4 linked regions of the Schizosaccharomyces pombe genome follow. The gene in region 4 interacts genetically with the main gene of each other region. Each region holds a gene or a part of one and is shown on either strand. Other genes may lie near its edges. The genes, in order: tsp0, meu10, alg12 and rhp1602.

Region 1 (4,177 bases), 790 kb from region 4:
TTCAAAGCTAGGGTCCAAATAAGGCACACGAAGAGCAATTAGTTGCGGAAGCTCACTGACCAGTTGATTATTGAGTGTCTCGTAGACCTCCTTCGCCATGGCTGCTTCTTTCTCGGTACGGGGAAGCTTAGTAGTGTCGTTGGAAGGCTTGTCGACCAGTTTTTGAACCTTAGCCCTCATAGCATCATGATCAAGTAATTTGTGATTACGCTTCGTGATAGCGGCATTAATATCGGGAAAGTAACTGCAGAACCTTGAGATGGGATCCAACACCGTTGTCCGGAAAGGACCGTCCAACTCTTTTACGGTATCGGCGTCCAAGTCTTCGACGACTTGTCGATAGTATGCACTGACACCATCCTTCGATCCAGCATCACCGTAAAATGCATCGATTGTGTTAGCGATTCTAGTTTGAGACGCAGTCATGGCTCTCAAAGCATCGAGATAACCTTTGGCTTCTTTTTGAAGCTTCTTTGCAGCTGATTCCATAGTTCTATAACGTCTTTCCTCTGTTTCAAATTCCCGATCCACCGTTCGCTCAACATGACCCGTCTTCATCATAACCTACCACAATGTTAGACAATTCTTCAACACTCAAATACATACCGAGGTACCCGCTCGGTTAACGGCCTTTTTGAATCCATGCCAACTCATTTTTGTGATATGGAAAAGAGAAGCGTCGGCATACCCAGATATCTTATGTCAGTTGATCGCTGCGCTAATGTTCGCTAGCTAAGCTGCATTGGATCTTTTAGTGGATTCAGCAGGATTCGCGTAGGGAACAATTCACGGAAGCAAAGCCATAACGTAAAGCCTGATTGCGAAGTTTATCATTGCGTTAAATAGAATAATGATAGTTTATTTCACAATGCAATTATAAAAAGATAAGGATGAAAAGCGTGTCGTTAATTTTGTGTTTAATTGATAGAGCAAGAGCATAATGGTGGTAAATTTGGGTTTCGAGGGTTGGCTTACTTTCATGTCACTATCAATAAATTACATCGCTTAAAAAATATATCTAAATTTTTCTTGTATAATCATCTGTAGTAAATCTCTGACTGCAATTAGAGGTCTATCCTCAGATAATTCTTGTTCACTAACTGCATCCAGCAGAAATCGCCTTATAAGGTAATATAGTTATGTTATAGTTTAATATAATATATCAATGTAAACATTTTAACTTGACAATATAGAGGTAATATCGTTTGCTCATAAATGGAAGATATTGTGGAGAAGCAATTTGAAATACGGACATTTTACCAACTTATAAATTTCATTAGAAGTGGTGGAATAAATGGTTTTGCATTATATGGATATAATGTTTTGAGGCTTCGACATGGAAAGACACGATTGCTACTTATCAATATATGAGATCATTCATGATAAAACTATAAAGAAAACGCTTTTCAGCGACATTTGAGCTAAAAAAACCCGGTCTCATAGTTTGCATCCTTACTCAAAAAGTGAAGAACTTAAGTTGTAGTAGTGGTGCATTACTTTGAGAGCTATTGTATAGCGATATTAGATATTGAAACAAGAACTCAGCCATTCAATGACAGTTTGTTTGTTCTGTGGGCAGTAAGACATCCAGATAATGCCCAAGAGAAAGATTCTTCTGAAAGTAAGAAACAAAAGCACCGAAATAAACCTTTCTTCTCTCTTTGTTGTCTTATCTAATTTTATAACTAAATTTGCCCATAAATCTCATCTGTGTGATGATAATTAACCGCATTTGACCAGCCCAAATATATTCTATTACAGAAAACAAGCGCTGCTACTAATAGATATACATAATTTTATAATATAATATTAATAATATAAAAAATTTAGTTGTACTGAAAATATTATCTTATGGAAAACTCCTTATAAACACTTTTTAGCGAGACACATCTACCACCACCTTACGCAGTATGAACACGTATTATACCCCAATACCTCGCTCCTCCTTCCCTTCTGTGACGTAATAGACGAGGTTATAAATATGGTGAATTATACATTCGAGTAGCTTCCAAGATCAAACTACAATTAAGTATTTCCTTTTATTTTAGTTTAGTATCGTATTTCTCTCATATCGATACTGTGCCCGTTTTTAAAATGTATGGAAGATTGAAAGATGGTTAAGCTTTATGGTCCAATTTTACTAATCTTCAATTCAATTAGAAGTTTCAACAACTCTTCTCCAAATTTCTAGTTTAATGTATGTCAGTTTTAATTATCAAACTTAACTCTAGCTACTCCATGTCTATTTGCTTAGCATGGTTTGAAAGACCTTTTGTATCTCGACATTATCTCTGCTGTTTGTAAACGAGCTGCATTAAGATTCGAAATACTTATGGTTTTTTAGTAGCAGTCGTTGTTAGTACTCTTTACATTCGTGGAATTTTTTTTTCCCGATTTCGCTAATCAACAGTAAACGATATTATTAAGTGTGATGGATTTGAACTATCAAGTATTCACTAGCATCTCCAAAAATTGGTGGTCCGCTTCTCTCGTTCCAGTCGCCTGCGGCTGGTTCATTGGGAATTCCTACAAGCCAAGAAAGGATTATGAGAACAAAAAGCAACCAAAGTTCCACCCCCCTGCATCTGCCTTTGGACCAGCATGGACACTACTATACCTAACAATGGGATATGCATCCCATTTGGCGTACAAGGCTGACCCTTTGATGATTACGAATGCCTCTCGAAATGGATCCATTTTATACATTGCACAGTTGGCCGCTAACTTTGCTTGGATGCCCTTGTTCTACGGATTAGCAAAACCAAAATTGGCTCTTGCCGATCTCGGCATTTTGACGGGACTTGTTGGTTGGCTTGCAAAGACATGGTGGCCTCTTGCACCAACGGCTTCCAAATGGTTAATTCCTTATTTAGCCTGGTTGGGATACGCTGGCTACTTGGTAAGTAATGTCACTAATTAAGGTTGATGTAGATCAAGAGAGTCAAAAGCATGACATGAGACAGTAGAATGTATTGTTGCATTTAAGAAAGAGCTTAAGCTGCACGATCAAAGTTTGAAAGAAACAGAAAAAAAAACACTAAAAAAACAATAACAGAAGAATCAGGTCGGAGAAAAAATATTATTGGAATAAGAAAAAGACAGCAGGAGGGATATGAGTTAAATAAAAAAAAAAAATTGGGCAGAACGAAAAAAGTCAAAACAAATTGATGGATAATAAATCGGTGACTAAAAAAATAATGAGTATAATATGATATGCAAAAAGGCCATGACTGAGTGATTTCGACTTGTTTCTTTCTCAAAAAATCACCAACAACATTGCAGTCCTAAATTGAACTTTGTCGGTAGGTCGACAACCTATACACAGTCTTGTGATTGTTTTGTATCTCTCTCAGCCTTAATTAGTTGACTACTTCATGGTTCCTGAAGAACCGTGTGAGGGATATGTTTGCTGACCAATTATCATAGAATCTTGGGTATTGCCTGTTAAATTAAGAGGATCGATATCGCTCGCTGGTAGTACAGGGAGACCTGTGGCTGTAGGATCATTGACATCAAGGTGATCAATCGAATCCATTGGATTGTGTGGTATAAAAGCTGCACCTGCAGACACGCTATCATCGTGATACACATCCAGACCAGGAAAAGCACTATGCTCATTTCCAGCTAGTGTAGATGAATAATCATTAGTACCTTTATGAAATGACCCTGGATGAGCAGCTGACGAAGTAGTAGTAGTAGTAGAGTTGTTGCCATTGGTAGAAGCTGTAGCAAAACTGCCTAGTTGAGAACCACTGGACATAAGATTCGATGTGTTTGAGTCGGTCTGTGGGAGCACTGTCATATCATGAGGCACTGGCCCCGAGGTGGAAGCGGTATTAGTGGGCCCACCCGACATGGCAATATTACCACTCATGTCTAGCTCGCCTCTGACATTTGGAGAAGTAATGTTGTTTCCAGAAGTATTGTTAGCAGGAGACATAGATGCTGTGGCAGAATTGATAGGAGCTGGAGACTCAGACGAGTTGGAGATAGAGCTAGGTCTTGAATCATTGCTATCCGCATATCCTTCAGACGTGTGAGTCACTTCAGAAGAAACGGTTGCAGGCACGGTGGCATCATTGGCATTTGTGGCATTAACATCGTCTCCTGTACTTCCTCCATTAGCAGCTGCCTCTGCAGCTTCCTGCGCTCTCAATTTTGATACTTTGTCAGCAGT
Region 2 (5,553 bases), on a different chromosome or scaffold from region 4:
AATTCCTTACCTATAAAAAAATAATGGATCGTATGCTATGAAGTGTAATTATTTACTTATTGTGAATTCAGTCACACTTTGAGTTCCAATGTTTTGTAGGTGAAAATTTTGATGAAATCTGTTACGAATAAAGTATGTACGACCAAAATTTAATTTTCAAATCAATATTTTCCGTTTAGCAATAAATCCATTTACCTACCTTTTTGTGAGTCTCTTAGACAACAACATGCTTAAACAACCTCTTAACTTGCATTGCTCTATTGGTAATGCTTAATCAAACTGTTATATCCCGTGTGTACCAAAAATTAAATCGAACGCAAAACTAACACTATAATAACATTTAACATTTCTAATCGTAGCTATAATTAAAATCATTGCTCTACAATCATTTTTAAGTTTTAAAACATATTGTCTGAATATACTGGTATTTTTGGTATGTTATTCTAACATTATTTTTCCAAATTATTATTATTATTATTAATTTTTTTTTAAATTATTTTTCCAAAAAACTGTTAATCACTATACAGAATCTATGAAGCTTTTATTTACACCTGTTAAATGGTTTAGATCCATCCTTCATTAATTCATAAATACAGATAATTCGTAGCAAACTCATTTCAAATTATTCATCTCTGCTTTGGGCAATTCACAAGTTTGTTACCCTTAAACAAAGCAAAAGCCAAAAAGCATCATCTTTACGAAGTATCAGAAACTGGAAAGGCAAATTGCATTTTCTTTCATCACAACACTCCTTGTATGTTCACAAAAACTATTGCTTCAATGAAACACATTCTCATTCATAATGAATGATGCTCTCTTATCATTGTTGTTCTATCATTAATTTTTTTATTTTATTTATTTTTTTTTAATCAAGCAGTAAGTTTATCATATTTGCAACTTCAAATGTTTGATCCAAACCGTCCAAAAATTAACAAAAGGACAAATTACGTCAAATCAGTAAGTAGTAGGATCGTTTAGTTATGATCATTGGAAATTGTTTCAGTGATCGGCTCGGTTGCAAGTCGTTTAAACTTGACAACCAAATATGAAACATTTGTGATTGCCAAATTCATCTTTCGTTGAGAAGTCATCCTTTCTCTCTTTCTTTTCCATACTTCATATACACTCTCTACTACTTAACAAGGTTCGACCAACTTTGTTTCAAGAAATTTTGCCTTCCTCCGCATTCGCGTAAAAATTTCATCCACTTTCCTTACCTTCCTTCTATCCGATTGCAATTTTTTACAGGCACGAGTGCCTCGGATGGATAAGGCTTGAAACACCCGAGGCAACACAAAGAAAAATATTTTTTGCATTCTGAATACCACTAATTGTTAGTTGACTAAACAAACGACGAAAGGCATGCTTGACTCACTCATGTAATTTCACATTCCTTGGTTTATATATTAATTCATTTGGATGCCTGTCAGATAAATTGTTCAGCTCTCGTACTTCCGTTTTTATCCCACTTAAATCATATGTTTCATGGCATAAAATTAGTACCATCTACGCGCGGGTTTAACTGTTAGTAAAAAATTGCCTTTTACTCTACAACAAGACAAACAAATGATTCATCTAGAAAAGTAGCGTGCTGTTATCGATAGACAAACATAATAACTGGTAGTTTTGTGATAGTAAGAATAATGATGAATATTTTTGTTTTAAAAATAAGAAGCCAATAGAACCTGGAGTCACTAAAAATACTTTTTTTTTTTCATTCTCCTAACCGTACTAAAAAATAAATAAATAAACCGAGGAAAAGCCAACCATTGGTAAGAAAAAGTGTTCACTATCCATACTCACAACAAAACAACTGAAAACCGGTTTCTCGTCATTTCACTGTGTCCATTAAGGAACAGCAAATAGTAAAGTGATCCAAAATGAAGCAACGAAACTTATCGCCGTTTTTTTTTGTAATCCTTGTTGGTTGAAAATCTTCCTTCTAATTATTTTGAAAGCATTTATTTACTTTTTAAATAGAAACAGGTTAATCATAGACGGCATGGCTTTGAAGGGTAGATTTCGATCTTGCAAATGAACTTGCGTTTACATTGTCAACTTTGTCTCTCTTGGCTTTAAAGCAAGTGCGCAAAGCCACTTACTAAGACAAGGAAAAAGGTAACAAGACGGAAAGGTCGGCTATCTACCTTAGCGGCACCACTTTGTTTGACCGGTGATGTACTGTTCTTAGAGCCTTTAATTGTTCCATTTCCTAACAGTTCATCAAAATCGTCATCATCGAAAGAAGACTCCTTGCTTTGTCTGGGATTGTCAACCGATCCTCGGCAAACAAACGATTTGCCCTTGATGATCCCGTCGCTCTGGCGGAAGGGACAAGTAAAGTCGCTCGATGTAGTTTGTATGTTCAAACCTCCTTTAACATCTCGTAACTTGGGAAGTTCAACGCTGCTAAAGTTACCGGTAAAGTCGATGGATCCTGCTACGGTCTTCAATTTATCATATCCTTTGATTTGTGCCAATGCTGCACTGTTGGCAATCATAAAAGTACCTCCAATGCTCTCAAGTTGCTTGAAATTTAGCGAAGTCAATTCCTGATTGCCTATAAAGAAAAGAGACTGTCCAATTCGTGTAATGTTTGGGCATGATATATCCTGCAACGTGCTGTTGAGGAAGCCTAAAAATCCTTTGACCTCTTCTAAATTCGAAAGTTGTAAGTGAGCTACGCGTTGAATCGTCATGTCACCCACGGTTTTAAGTCTAGGAAGGGTAACACTGATCTCCCTGGCATTGTAAGAGACGTAAAACTTCGACTCCACACTTTCCAAATAGGGCATATCAACTTCTCGCAAATAATTGTTGTTAACAATTACCATCGTATCCGTAGTATTCAAAGAAATACCTGCAAGTGTGGAGAGTTGGGTATCCTCGATGGTGAGCTTATGGGCCTTTTTGATCCCCTTATCGAATCGAATCCCTTGAAGATTTGGCAAGATACGCATCGTTAATTGGCCAACATTTGCCAGTTGAGGTGCGTAAACACTAGCGAGTCGTGTGAGTTTTTCAAACCGTAATTCTCCACCCACACTGGAAATGGATGTCAGGGCTACCGATGCAAGGTAGTTGTTATTACGAATGATGAGATCACCGGTAATGGTCTCTATTCTATTGAAATTCAAAGAAGTAGCTGAGCTAGTGTTCATGATGATAGAGCCATTCACAACCTGACAGTTGCTTAAAACGTCCAAGTCATTCTGTGTCTCAATAATGTACTCGGGGGCACCACAAACCGCTGGGGTTGCACCAGCGATCACTACGCTCCACGCAGTGAAACTGGTAAACAAATAAAAGCGTGAAGACAAGCGCATTTTATGATAAATGAAGAATGAATATAAAGGAGGGAAAAGTTGTTAGGGATAATAAAAGCAATAAAATCTATCAAGTACGACCAAAATTTTTGTCGTAGCAGGAAGGGATTGGAAATGAAATTATGAATACTGAAGAATGAATTCGGGTCTTTGTAGGGTTTGGAAATGATGAACCTTTAATTGTTTATGATTTCCTTGTTGATTAAAGTTTGGACAAGAAAAAGTGCCTTAAACGAATGCTAATATAACAAAAGTTTATGTATATATATGCTGGGTAAGAAAAGAGGACAGAGCGAAGTCTTTCTTCGTAATGGATTATTTATACGATTTTTGTTAAAAGGAATAAAAATGTAGCGGTTATTTCCAGGTAGTTTACTCACTGGCATGCCCTTTTATAGATTTCGAAACCGCCCAACTCATCTTAATATGGTAAAAGTTACTCAGGTTTATACACCCCAATTACTAAAAACATCTTAAGTAATAAGTTGAATGTATGTTAATGGACTATATGCGGTTCACACATTCGTTAATTCATTTATAAATACGGCCTTGAGCCTGCACCACACCTACCATCAACAACAACTTTCAACAATAACAAACACAAATGAACAGCGAAAAATAACGAGAGTAAATACCAAGAAAGTAATCAACGCAACTCTTTAAAATTTTTTTTTTTCATAATGTAAACAAACCTACTTGGTATAATTGTTTACTTATTTATTTACTTTGCAATGTTAGTAAACAATGTCAGCAACGTCATGCGATCGACTTTTTCATTGTTTTTCTCTACACGAGGTAACATTATCCCATTGAGGGGTATAGCGTCCGTTGCGGAGGAAAGTTGATCATAAGTGACCCACGGATTGTCTCTATTTTACAATGCTCAACTTGACTGGTTGAATGTTGAGAGTGTTTACTTCGTTGATTACCAACATTTGCTATGTCAACGTAAAACTGCACAAGTTGAACATAACTGGAAAAACTTACTTTGGATTATTATAACTGACTAATCAATAGGACTCATCCGTTGGATCTAGGATTCGCTGCAAATCCTCATCATACATTATTTTGATTCCCGAAAACTGCTTGCTTTAAATTTTTTAAAATCTTAAACCTTTTTTTTAACCTTTTCATTTAAAACATTTTTATCTCCTTCGCAAGCTCAAAAGTCGAGAATTGGCATCGTTGAGGTGTCAACCGACAACGGACCTAAAAAGGCGCCGACAAGCAAAAAAATTTGTACGTAATTGCTATCAGGAATTTAAGAAGCGGCAAAACTTCATCTGCTTAATATTCAAAGTGAGTCTCGAATGTCACCAACGGAAGCCAAATCTTCGGTCTTGCTAAGAGGCTTACCTATCCTATCGTGCATTTTATTTTTTCAATTTACCATCCTGGGAATACTAAGTGGACGTGCGTGGTTGGTATGAAAACATTCTGCACCATTTGGACATCCAACAGTTAAAATTTTGCGAAGTCACAGTTGTTGGCCGTTCTATTTTCAGTGGTATTCCCGTTAATATCACACTCAATTCGTGCTATAGGCAAAATCGGAAAAACCAAAGTACATGTTGTTTAACGATTTTTCGGTAACGTCGTAAGGCTGTATATCCAAGTAATACCGGATTAACATTTTACTTCTCCGAATTAGGGAATCATGTAAATAATAAAAAGAAAAAAAAGGAAGATTAGGACTGCTACAAAAATTAATGAATTGACTTAAGAAATTTGGTTCCTGACTTTGTACGAAAACACAACACTTTTGTAACAACCTTTACGCTAGCTAAATAGTTTACTTTTTACCCTTGATAGGTCATCCTGTTCGTTGCAATTAATGTTGAGGGAAAGTTAAGTGATCTCAGCTCATCAAATACCAGACATTGCGCGTACATGAACTTTTAAACTTAACGTCCACGGATCTCTTAAATTCAGCTGTAGAGGTGAAAGGCTTGTTTTAAAAGTTTTAAAATTTCCAAACGGATATAATAGATTGCATCCTTTTCACCTTCGTCAAATTCTATGTCCCCAAACGTTCAGAAACGTCCTTCTTCCGAAGATATTAAAACACAGGAGTTTTATGATTCAACTAGGAACATAAGAAGAGTCGCTACAGCAATAGGATCCATCAATGCTAATTTAGAGTCTCCACAATTGTATTCACTCGCCAAATCCACCTCTTTACAGGAACCCGTTCGCATCTATGGAGACTCGGTTTCACCCGCCATCA
Region 3 (4,408 bases), 650 kb from region 4:
CTCCCCGTAAGATTGAGAGCGCTCCCAAAAATGCTCACACTGAGGAATGTGTTTTGGCAACTGTCGATCCTACTGAGAAGGTTCGCATTGACAATAACGTGGACCCCACTACTGCCACTTCGATGGATGAAGATGAAGATGAAGAAGGTGGACACCCCGGTGTTCAATGTGCTCAACAGTAAACCTGTCTTATTCTGAATTTCTTTTCATTCATTTTTTCAAAATTGACAGCATTTGGATTCGTTATCCTTTTAAGAAGAGCCTAGACAATTATTTGTTTTCAGATGTTCCTAATCTTTTCCTTAGGTTTCGAGTTGCTATTGCATGTATACCTTATTCTCTTGTTCCTTTTTTTCATCCTGTAAACTCATTCCCCTCATTTGGTGTTAGTTTTCTTTTATCTCATAAAGATGTTTGATATCTAGCTTCGGCATATCTAACATACTTGCCTTTGATAGTTATTCTCTCGGTTCTTATCTTGGTCTTTATACTTCGTTAATACGCTGCTTCAATAAATATAATGACTGCAAAAAGTCGATTTATAAATATGAATACATAAATTAGATCTTGCTTGCTTTGTTTGTAAAATTTTAGTATTTGTGAGACAATTACAATTACGGCTTTTGGAAAAAGTAGTAAATAATTTTTGATGCGCTTCTGCACTTTGAATTGTCTGCGAACTAAAATTATGTTTATTCACTCTACTTATCGTTGCAATACAATTCAAGTGGGGGATGCTACTAAATTGTAACTGTAAATACAAAATCGTAAAACTTGAAGAATATACCTTGAAAAAATTTTACTCTCGTTTTCTTACTAAACTATCATCCCTGGGTGATATGCGTTAGAATCCGATCTTTGTCAATAAAAAAGTTCAGACGGTCTTCCCGGTAATCTCTTGTCAACAATGTGTCAGGAGATACCACCCTATAAATAGGAGGCCAAAGTTTAATCTCGTCAACTTTATGTCCGATGAATGAAGAGTAGTCATCAACTGCGGCAGGTTTAGTTGCTCGTGCTTTTTTGTTTGCCAAGATGTAAACGGGCTGTGCTGGATTTCTTATGGAGATTTCTCGCGGTATGTGATTACTTAACCATTTTGGAAGGATGGGAATTTTCGTGTTGGAATTAACGGATTCTATAACATCAAAAGTATCATTATATGATTCGGGATCTTCGGTGATTAAATAGTCGAATTGGGAAATAAATAAAGAATTTGAAAGCATTTTAGGATCCTCAGTTTTGTCATAGTACCACGATGGAAGCTGTGAAAATCGAGTTATACCTGTCATACACGGATATACATCCATGTGTACAGAAACTAAGTACGTTAGAATAATCTAATTGGTGAAAAAGTTGAACTTACCTTGGGGATGATTTTCAATTTCATATAAACGAGTTAATGCTAGACCACCAGGGTAAGCGTATTGAAAAACATATAACAAAAAACTGCTTCCAATAAACCCGAAGATTATCCCCGAAAAAAACATTAACCTTAGAATTTCAAATATTTTCTTGCCAAATTTACTGGCATTAAAGCATAAGGAAGCCCCAATTGCACTAGCTGCGTTAAACCAAGGGATCGAATAGATAATAAAGCGCCATTCTTTATGGCCTAAAAATGAATAAACAAATATAAAGAAAAGGGGAACATATATTAAAAGACGAGCAGGCTTGATGTAAACAAAGCTGATTAAAAGGAAGAGCAATGTCGTGGGATTGAGAAATAGCCAAGGAAGTCTCACAAAGTAGTAGTAAAAAGGGCTTGTTCCCCAATCTGAAGATTTCCCTTCAACAACATTGAATAAGAAAGCTTCTAATTCAGGCCAACACCAAGCCCCCCAGAAATAGGAATCAATGAGAAAAGAAGCTCCCACTGCTGCTAATGAAGAAGAAATACCAACGAGTAGCAATTTTGATAAAGTAATCCTCCTCTGAAGCAATAATGGTAGAATCAAACACATTAGAAGTAAAGCTATTTCGGACCTAACAATCGCTGCGGCAAAAACTAAAATACTGATAGAGCCGTAATAATTATTTTTAAGTAACAAAGAAAGAGAGTGGTTCGTAGCTATTAGTCCGAAAATATTTGACAATGGTCTGGACATATAGTACACGAGGTGAAATTGAGCGCAGCTAAACAGTATAAACAGTGCTCCAGACAATGTGCCGAATCGTTTGCTAATGGAGCAGCTTACAGAATTCATACTCTCCCAACTTAAATACCCAATTGTCCATCTAGCGGCAAGTAATGGATTAACAAACCAAGAAGGTATATAGGACAAAACTGCTATAAACAAACTCGGTATGAAACTCCGTTTAACGGCTCCTGGAAACTCCAGATGATCATACTAAAATATGTGAGTAATTTAAATAAGGAAATAATTATCAACTACTACCTTTGACAAATCCCAACGATACGTCTGAATGTCATGAATCGCTTGCATAGCAAACGACTCTTCTACCTTTGTAAACGGAGTTTTGTACGAATAATACCCTATGCATGTCACAAGCAAAATATTTGCCAAATACCAACAAATGCTCTCTTTAGAAGTCATCCCGCTTCATCATTTATTGAAAGCATACAAATAGTTATTGGAGAAAGAGCAAAGGTGAATGAATATACGTAAATAAAGCAACGATTAATTTTGCTAAATCTAGTTTAAGGAGATTCAAGGTAATGATTTATTTGTTATAAACAAGGGTTGTTCGCTGCACTGTCTTCTAACTTTGCATCTTTGTGTACGTTAAGTATCTGCTTCTCCTCTTTTAATCGAACATTTTATATGTTAAATTTTAATTACCTCTACTATTTGCAAAACGAAATTCACATCTTTCATCAAAATTTAATTATTCCTTCTGTTTAGGGAAACTTTGAAAGAATACAACGATCCTCGTTAACTGATTTACCATGGTAGTTTAACGTATAGCGTTTTGGAGGAATATTCATTATAGAAAACGTGCTATTATAATTAAGGTGAGAGATATAATTGCATTTCATTTATTATTTAAACTAATTTTTCTTCTTATCGTTCCTGAAAATCGTTGCTAGTACGGTCTATAGAACGATAGATTCGTCGGTTCCAATAGCATGCTTTACCACGGGTATACACCAAACCTCCCCCCATATCATTACGAAACAGGAATCAATAAAAGCTAACGTCAATTGAACATTATGCTTCGTCAAACGCTAACTCAGGCGTCTCGGATGCGTCCTTGTATATCTGTAGTTGGATTTCGGGGTTTTCACGCTAGGTATGTTGTTTAGGTTTACTTTTTGTGATTCACAAACATATTCGAAGTTGAATGCATTTTTTCTAACGATTTTTTATAGTTCTCCTTGTGAGGCAACGCTAAAAGAGATTGAACAAAGGCTGAAGTCTATTAAGAACATTGAAAAGATTACCAAGACCATCAAAACTGTAGCTCAAACTAAGCTTACTAGGGCTCAACGTGCTATGGAAGCTTCTAACAAATACTATCGTGTATCTGATGAAGTGTTTAAGGAGGCTGGAACTAAAGCACCTGAGGAGGGTAAAACTCTTATGGTTGCTTGCTCTAGTGACAAGGGTCTTTGTGGTGGTATTCATTCTTCAATCTCTCGTCTTATCCGTAGAGAACTACATGATCCTAAGACATTTGAGAACACAAGTTTGTGTATTTTGGGAGAAAAAGTTCGCACTCAATTACTTCGTTTCTGTCCCGAATCTTTCTACTTGACTTTTGCACACATTGGTGGAGCTAGTCCTTCTTTTGAAGAAGCTTTACAAATTTCTAGTAACATTTTGGAACATGCTAAAGACTATGATAGAATTGTTCTCGTCTATAACAAGTTTGCTTCCGCTGTCTCGTTTGAAACTGTGATGAAGAACTTGTATACAACTAAGGCCATCAATGAATCCCCCAATCTCTCTGCATACGAGGTAAGTGATGAAGTCCATCAACCACTCATGGAATTTGCATTTGCCAATGCTATTTTTTCTGCCATGGCGGAAGCTCATTGCAGTGAAATGTCATCTCGTCGTAACGCCATGGAAAATGCAAGCAAGAGTGCTGGAGATATGATTAACAAGTTTTCCATCCAATATAATCGTCAACGTCAAGCCTCCATTACTAACGAACTTATCGATATCGTTACTGGTGCAAACTCTTTGGCTTAATTCTTGATCTCTTTGGTAAGGTTCAAATGCATGTTAAGATTTTTAAATTAAAGAAGTTTGTGAAATATAAGCGCTGAAGTCAACGATATTTCTTGTCTATTTAGCTTAACTTTTTACCTTTATACCATTTGAACCGTAATTCATTGAAAACGTTCAGATTAAGCTTACCTTTTGTTCTTAATAAATTTACGTCCATCTTTTTATCGTAAGTATTTTTCATGTAGAGAATGTTGAAGAGGTTTTTGTAA
Region 4 (5,274 bases):
CTTGCTCCCATTCAAAGCAGATTTCTACGATTGGAAAGCAATGTCTTGCTGTCGCTCTGCTTTCTTCCTGTTTAGCTGGATGCTATGAGCTACAGCAAAACTCGAAGAAGATCAAGAGTGCAACGCAAGAAGCATCTGAGAAAGATTCGACCAGTTTGCAGACTTTGCAAAAGTAAGTTTCTTTTTATGCATATTTTTCATATCTAACCACATTTGTGCAGAGAGCGTAAGGAAATTTTGTTCTTTGCTTTGCAAAACGCTTTGGACGCTACAATTCCTCTTGCCGAACTGGATATCCTTAAGGTTAATGACGGATTCGTGGCTGCTGCTGGTATTACCACGAGTCTTATGAGTGTCTATAAAACATGGATTGGTAGTTACTAAATTGCTTTCTTTTCAGATTACAATGTTTTACGAATGGTGTATCATTCGGCAAATATCTACCTTATATAGATTTACATCCAGGTGCATTCCTTCAGTATTTTACTTTTACTTAATCATTTGACTAAATGATATTTTCTAATATTTTTAATAACATATGTAATAGTAGATATTATTCATTAAACAGTCGTCTAAAGTCATACAACGATTCACGTACCAAAAATTTAGTTCAAAAGCTAGGTCCTTTATCACCTTCTGATTTTTAAGCCGCGGCACGCTTGTTAAATAGAAACAAAAGATCATTAAGTGTTAATTTTTTGGAGGTAAAAACCGACTTTTTGCCATCTCCGAGAGCCTGCTTGGCAAGGTCTCGTTTAAGATTCTGAAGTTCGACAATTTTTTCTTCAATTGTATTTTCAACCACTAGCTTATAAACAAGTACATCACGTCTTTGTCCAATACGATGTACTCTATCGATAGCTTGTTCTTCAATTGCAGGGTTCCACCAAACATCGCAAAGTATTACACGACTTGCACATGTTAAATTTAAACCAAGAGCACCGCACTTTAAAGAGCATAATAGTACTTGAGTTCCACTATCAGAGCGAAGGAGGTCCAAAGATTTTTCTCTAGCACGATTGTTCATGCGACCGTCATACCGAACAAAACCTATACCGGCTTTCCTCAAATGTAAGTCAATGATATCCAAAAAAGTGGTAAATTGAGAAAAAATTATTGTTTTTCGTAACCCCCGAACTGTATCATCCTCTTCTTGTTCATCTAGAGATAAAATTTTGAGGATTTCCCTAATTTTGGATGACTTGTATAGCGTCTTATCATTAGGGTCTTGAATTCCTTTATCCAATTCTTTAAAATTTCGAGAACAATCTTTGCATTTTTTTTCATGAAAATCGGGAGGAAGCTCGGCCATACAAATTGTACAAAAAGACTTTTTACGGCTTCCTATTTCAACTGTTTCTAATAGGTTTGCCAAATCATCAACATCTTGATCGGAAGCTAATTTGTTCGTGTTTGCTGCCCCATCCAACGCATTAAATGCATCAACGTCTTGTTCAAATTGAAAATTTAAAGACTGAGGATGATTGCAAGCCTGTCGTAGACGCAAGAGAAGACACAGTATGTTAGTATAGTTCTTGCCTAATTTCCCCGAATTAACAAAATTTGACATCGTTCGTTCCATGTTTCGTGCCAAGTTACTGTAAAAGTCACGTTCACTTTCTTCAAATTTACAAATAACCTTATACACCAAACGCTTTGAAAGTTTTAAAGCACCACCTGTACCATCTTTGCCCGCGTTTGCCTCTAACAAAGTCTTCGTTCGTCGTAACATGATTACACTCAGAAGCATTCGAAGTCTTTTAAAAACCAAGTTTTCCTCTCCTTGACATAAAGGTAAAGAAATTTGATCTTTCCAAACAGATTGGTCGTTAAATGGATTAATATGAAGAAATTTCACAAGTGAGTAAAGTTCATCTACATTGTTTTGTAAAGGTGTCCCAGTGAGACACCAGCGATTGATGCCCTGTAATGCGCAACAGGCAAGAGCTGATTTAGAAGATTTATTTTTTATAGTGTGTGCTTCATCCAGTATTATCCTCCACCAATAGAAGGCAAACAAGCTTGGCTTTTTCTTTTCATAACTTTTAGCTTCAGTAGGCGATTTGCCGTCTGTACCTGTAGTATTGTGAGACACCCATTCCGAAACTAGTATTTGATACGTGGTTATTACTACATCGTATTCGTGAATTACTTTAAGTAATTTATATCTGGATGCTCCATGATAAACGATTGCTGTCAACTTGCTTTTCGTCTGCACTTCTGATTCCCACTGTTTAATTAAACTGAGTGGAGCTACTACCAAAGTGGATTTGATTGAATGCTTCTTCTTTGGTAAGGGATGCGAAAGAATTAAAGCGATCATTTGAATAGTTTTTCCCAATCCCATCTAAAAAAATTATTAGCACTGAATAACAACAAATAATATTTTCATGACTTACATCATCTGCTAGAATTCCGCCGGAAGCCGAAGATTTAGACACCGTTTCTCTTGATTTGAGCCAAGTAAGTCCTTGGACTTGATGATCTAGTAGACGTATATGCATGCCAGGAATAAACGAGGACTGCCTCTGCATTGAATCGTCCTTAACATTGTCCAGCACATTATTCTCAAACAGTTTATGTAGCATTGCTTGAGTATTTTGGGAAGTTAAGATTTCTTCAGTGGGTATACCTATGGGGCCTTTTCTATTTTCAGAAGTTGGTTTATTGTGCTTACCAAAATATAGCGTTGAAGTAGAAGCTCTGGGAATTGGAATCACAATAGGCTTATCATTTATCAAGTCCGTTCTTTTCGAAGTTGCTTTATTTATTGAGACTTCAGGAACCTTGGTATATGGTTTCTTCCACGCACCAGATTTTACTGAGATAGGGGCAAATGGATCTTTCTCCCATTTCCTTATTCCCTCATCCTTACGTTCCAATTTTTTACTATAAAAAACCTGAGCTGGTTTACTAGTTATAGGCGCGGAGACGATTACTTCCTTTTCGTTTGTATCTATCTCCTGTCTCTTTAAGCTTTCAAAAGCATCAGAAAGAAAATGTTGGGTTTTCTTTTTATTCTTAGATTTTATAGATTGTTTTGGGATGGATTCATCTTCGCTTTTGGGCAACCTTGGTAATGAAGTAGATTCATTTTCTTTCCCTGCTGTATTTACACCGAAATTTTGTAAAAAAGAGTTATTCGCTTTTTTAACCCCACTTTCCTTATTTTTAGACGCTTTTTCCATCAAGCTCCCTCAAGCAAATTGCACTGAACGTGAACATTCAGTGGTAGTAGAAATAGCTTGTATACGATGGGTTCTTACTAAGTGAAGATTGGTGTCAAGAACTCAAATATTTCTATTTGCTTACTTTAATGTTTTTTTGAGTATAAAAGTAAACCCTACACAATATATCCACTAACACAGTTTTCGAGTCGAAATTTGTAAAGACTGCTCAAATCGACTATAGGATTTAAGAACTTGCGCAATGGTCCTAATTAACCGAACTTTCAAACAATTTTATAAGAATGTTTGCAACAAAGTGTCTGCAATTCTGGATTTAGTTCATAGTCTAACTTTTTGGAAAAAAAAATTTATATTAGAAATAGTCAAAAGTTATGGAAGTTTTTCAGCTTAGTTTTAAAATCAACGTATTAAGATAAACTGGTTATCAATGCGAAGATGATACCACATTTGCAGCATCACTATTAGTTTTCGAATTGAATCTCTTATACATTGACACTTATAAAGAAAAAAGCCCATTAGGGGTTGAAAGGCTACATTCTCCGGCCTTTCCTAAATAAGAAACATATTCAACCAGTCTGCCACTTTTAATAAGACAATGGTAAAGTTTTAAATCTTCACTGGCAACTTCGTTAGCCAGAGCAAAACAGCTATCATAGTCCTCAAGGCTAAAATAAACATTATGCAAACCGAGAATTAGTTCAGGCACATACAAATTCCGAATAGTCATAAGAGTTTTATAAAGCAAAGGATCATCATCTGGTTTCAGCTCCAATGTAGACGGGTGAAGCCAGTTAGCTTGAAGTAAGTCTGTGAAGGACTTTACACATTTACGAGAGGCAAAATTCAATTTTTTTTTCCAAACTTTATAAGAAGTGCTAGCTTTCGTAACTGCAGAATCTTCAAATACTTCTTGTTTAGAAAGCTCTTCCCATTCTTGATAAAATTTAAGTGCTCTGCAGAGAGCTCGATAGTTCATCAGTTCATACGCATCTCTAAACTTAGAATCGTTTTCGGGTTCACCATCGCTAGAGCTTAGCGTATTCAAAGCATCAGAGGGAATATGTGTATAAAGATCGTATGCACTATTTAGCTCGCCAATGCTTAAAAAGAAACGATATACAAGGTTTGCAAATCGGAGCAGCTCATCTGTCTGTGAAGTGATTAATAACCATTCAAGGGTGCAGATGAGCTTTTTATAAGATGGTTCAACTGGCTCCTCAATAGATTTTAAATATACTGTGTGAACTTCTTCGGGAGAAACAGAGACAACTTCATCATACACATATTCAACAGCTAGTAACGCCGCATGATTAATATCTAATGAATATTTTTTTGCTAATTGAAGTTGTTCTGATCTTGCACTTTCTTCATCAACAAGAATAAGGAATCGAGAATAAGCCTCGTACTGCACTTGATTTGATAGGTACTGAATATACAATGGAACCAAGTTAACTTTTTTAGCACTAGCCAATAACTCAATATACGCTTGGATAATAGAGTCAGAAGTATATTCATCCACAGCAAGACCTGAAATCTTCAAAAATAAAATTATGTGTGTCAGTATTCGAAGAAGAGGAGGTGTAACCAAATCCCCAGACTCAGGGGCATTTCCAGTCCGAATTGCTTCCAACTGTATGTGAGCAGAGCTCAAAATTTCCGAAATTTTATTACAAATGATATGAGTTTGAAGTTTAATTAGGGGATGTGATGCTTCTTCTTGGATTGAAGCAATAGAGCTGTTACTCAGCGAATTAAAAATCAATTCGGGAGTTAAGCCTAAACCACTATCCACTGGAGGCAATTGTGTTTCTGTTTGAGGAGCCTTAGAAGAAAGATAAACATCCAAATTGTACTGAGTCATACTATTATAATAAGCCCACATCGCATCCTCCCAAGTTGTGCACACATCAAGGACGGAGTTCAAGTCTCCACATAAAGCGCCATAAAGAGCGCGTTCATAAGAGTCTATCCGTTTATTTTTTGTAAGTGCTAAACATGATCTGCGCAAGAGTTCCTTTCTTTTATTACCGGAAGTCTCGGATTGCAAAACATCGTCGATGAGGTTATCTCTATACTCCAAAATTCC

The links.
Region 1: mutations in rhp1602 (region 4) and tsp0 together harm fitness less than expected from each alone (positive genetic interaction), as found in Schizosaccharomyces pombe (one large-scale study listed by BioGRID).
Region 2: mutations in rhp1602 (region 4) and meu10 together harm fitness less than expected from each alone (positive genetic interaction), as found in Schizosaccharomyces pombe (one large-scale study listed by BioGRID).
Region 3: mutations in rhp1602 (region 4) and alg12 together harm fitness more than expected from each alone (negative genetic interaction), as found in Schizosaccharomyces pombe (one large-scale study listed by BioGRID).

What each region holds. Positions count from the first base shown.
Region 1 is NC_003423.3:1,222,543-1,226,719, forward strand, and holds tsp0 (tspO-like protein), read left to right. Parts: upstream 1-2,009; 5' UTR 2,010-2,096; exon of another isoform or gene 2,097-2,160; 5' UTR 2,161-2,197; exon of another isoform or gene 2,198-2,357; intron 2,358-2,400; exon of another isoform or gene 2,401-2,410; 5' UTR 2,411-2,431; coding exon 2,432-2,899; exon of another isoform or gene 2,900-3,367; coding exon of another isoform or gene 3,368-3,426; coding exon 3,427-3,453; downstream 3,454-4,177. Other genes in the region: BAR adaptor protein Hob3, read right to left, coding at 1-564, 607-654; CCAAT-binding factor complex subunit Php2, read right to left, coding at 3,368-4,177.
Region 2 is NC_003421.2:1,866,405-1,871,957, forward strand, and holds meu10 (GPI-anchored protein Meu10), read right to left. Parts: upstream 3,692-5,553; 5' UTR 3,327-3,691; coding exon 2,076-3,326; 3' UTR 1,376-2,075; exon of another isoform or gene 1,318-1,375; 3' UTR 512-1,317; downstream 1-511. Other genes in the region: DNA-binding transcription factor, CBF1/Su(H)/LAG-1 family Cbf12, read left to right, coding at 5,346-5,553.
Region 3 is NC_003423.3:1,082,761-1,087,168, forward strand, and holds alg12 (dolichyl-P-Man:Man(7)GlcNAc(2)-PP-dolichyl-alpha-1,6-mannosyltransferase), read right to left. Parts: upstream 2,595-4,408; 5' UTR 2,559-2,594; coding exon 2,400-2,558; exon of another isoform or gene 2,352-2,399; coding exon 1,367-2,351; intron 1,322-1,366; coding exon 825-1,321; 3' UTR 556-824; downstream 1-555. Other genes in the region: DNAJ domain-containing protein Mas5, read left to right, coding at 1-182; F1-ATPase gamma subunit atp3, read left to right, coding at 3,176-3,255, 3,335-4,160. UniProt on the Schizosaccharomyces pombe protein: Mannosyltransferase that operates in the biosynthetic pathway of dolichol-linked oligosaccharides, the glycan precursors employed in protein asparagine (N)-glycosylation.
Region 4 is NC_003423.3:435,590-440,863, forward strand, and holds rhp1602 (DNA translocase Rhp16b), read right to left. Parts: upstream 3,220-5,274; 5' UTR 3,189-3,219; coding exon 2,400-3,188; exon of another isoform or gene 2,348-2,399; coding exon 644-2,347; 3' UTR 501-643; downstream 1-500. Other genes in the region: peroxin pex11, read left to right, coding at 1-172, 222-384; nucleoporin Nup107, read right to left, coding at 3,685-5,274.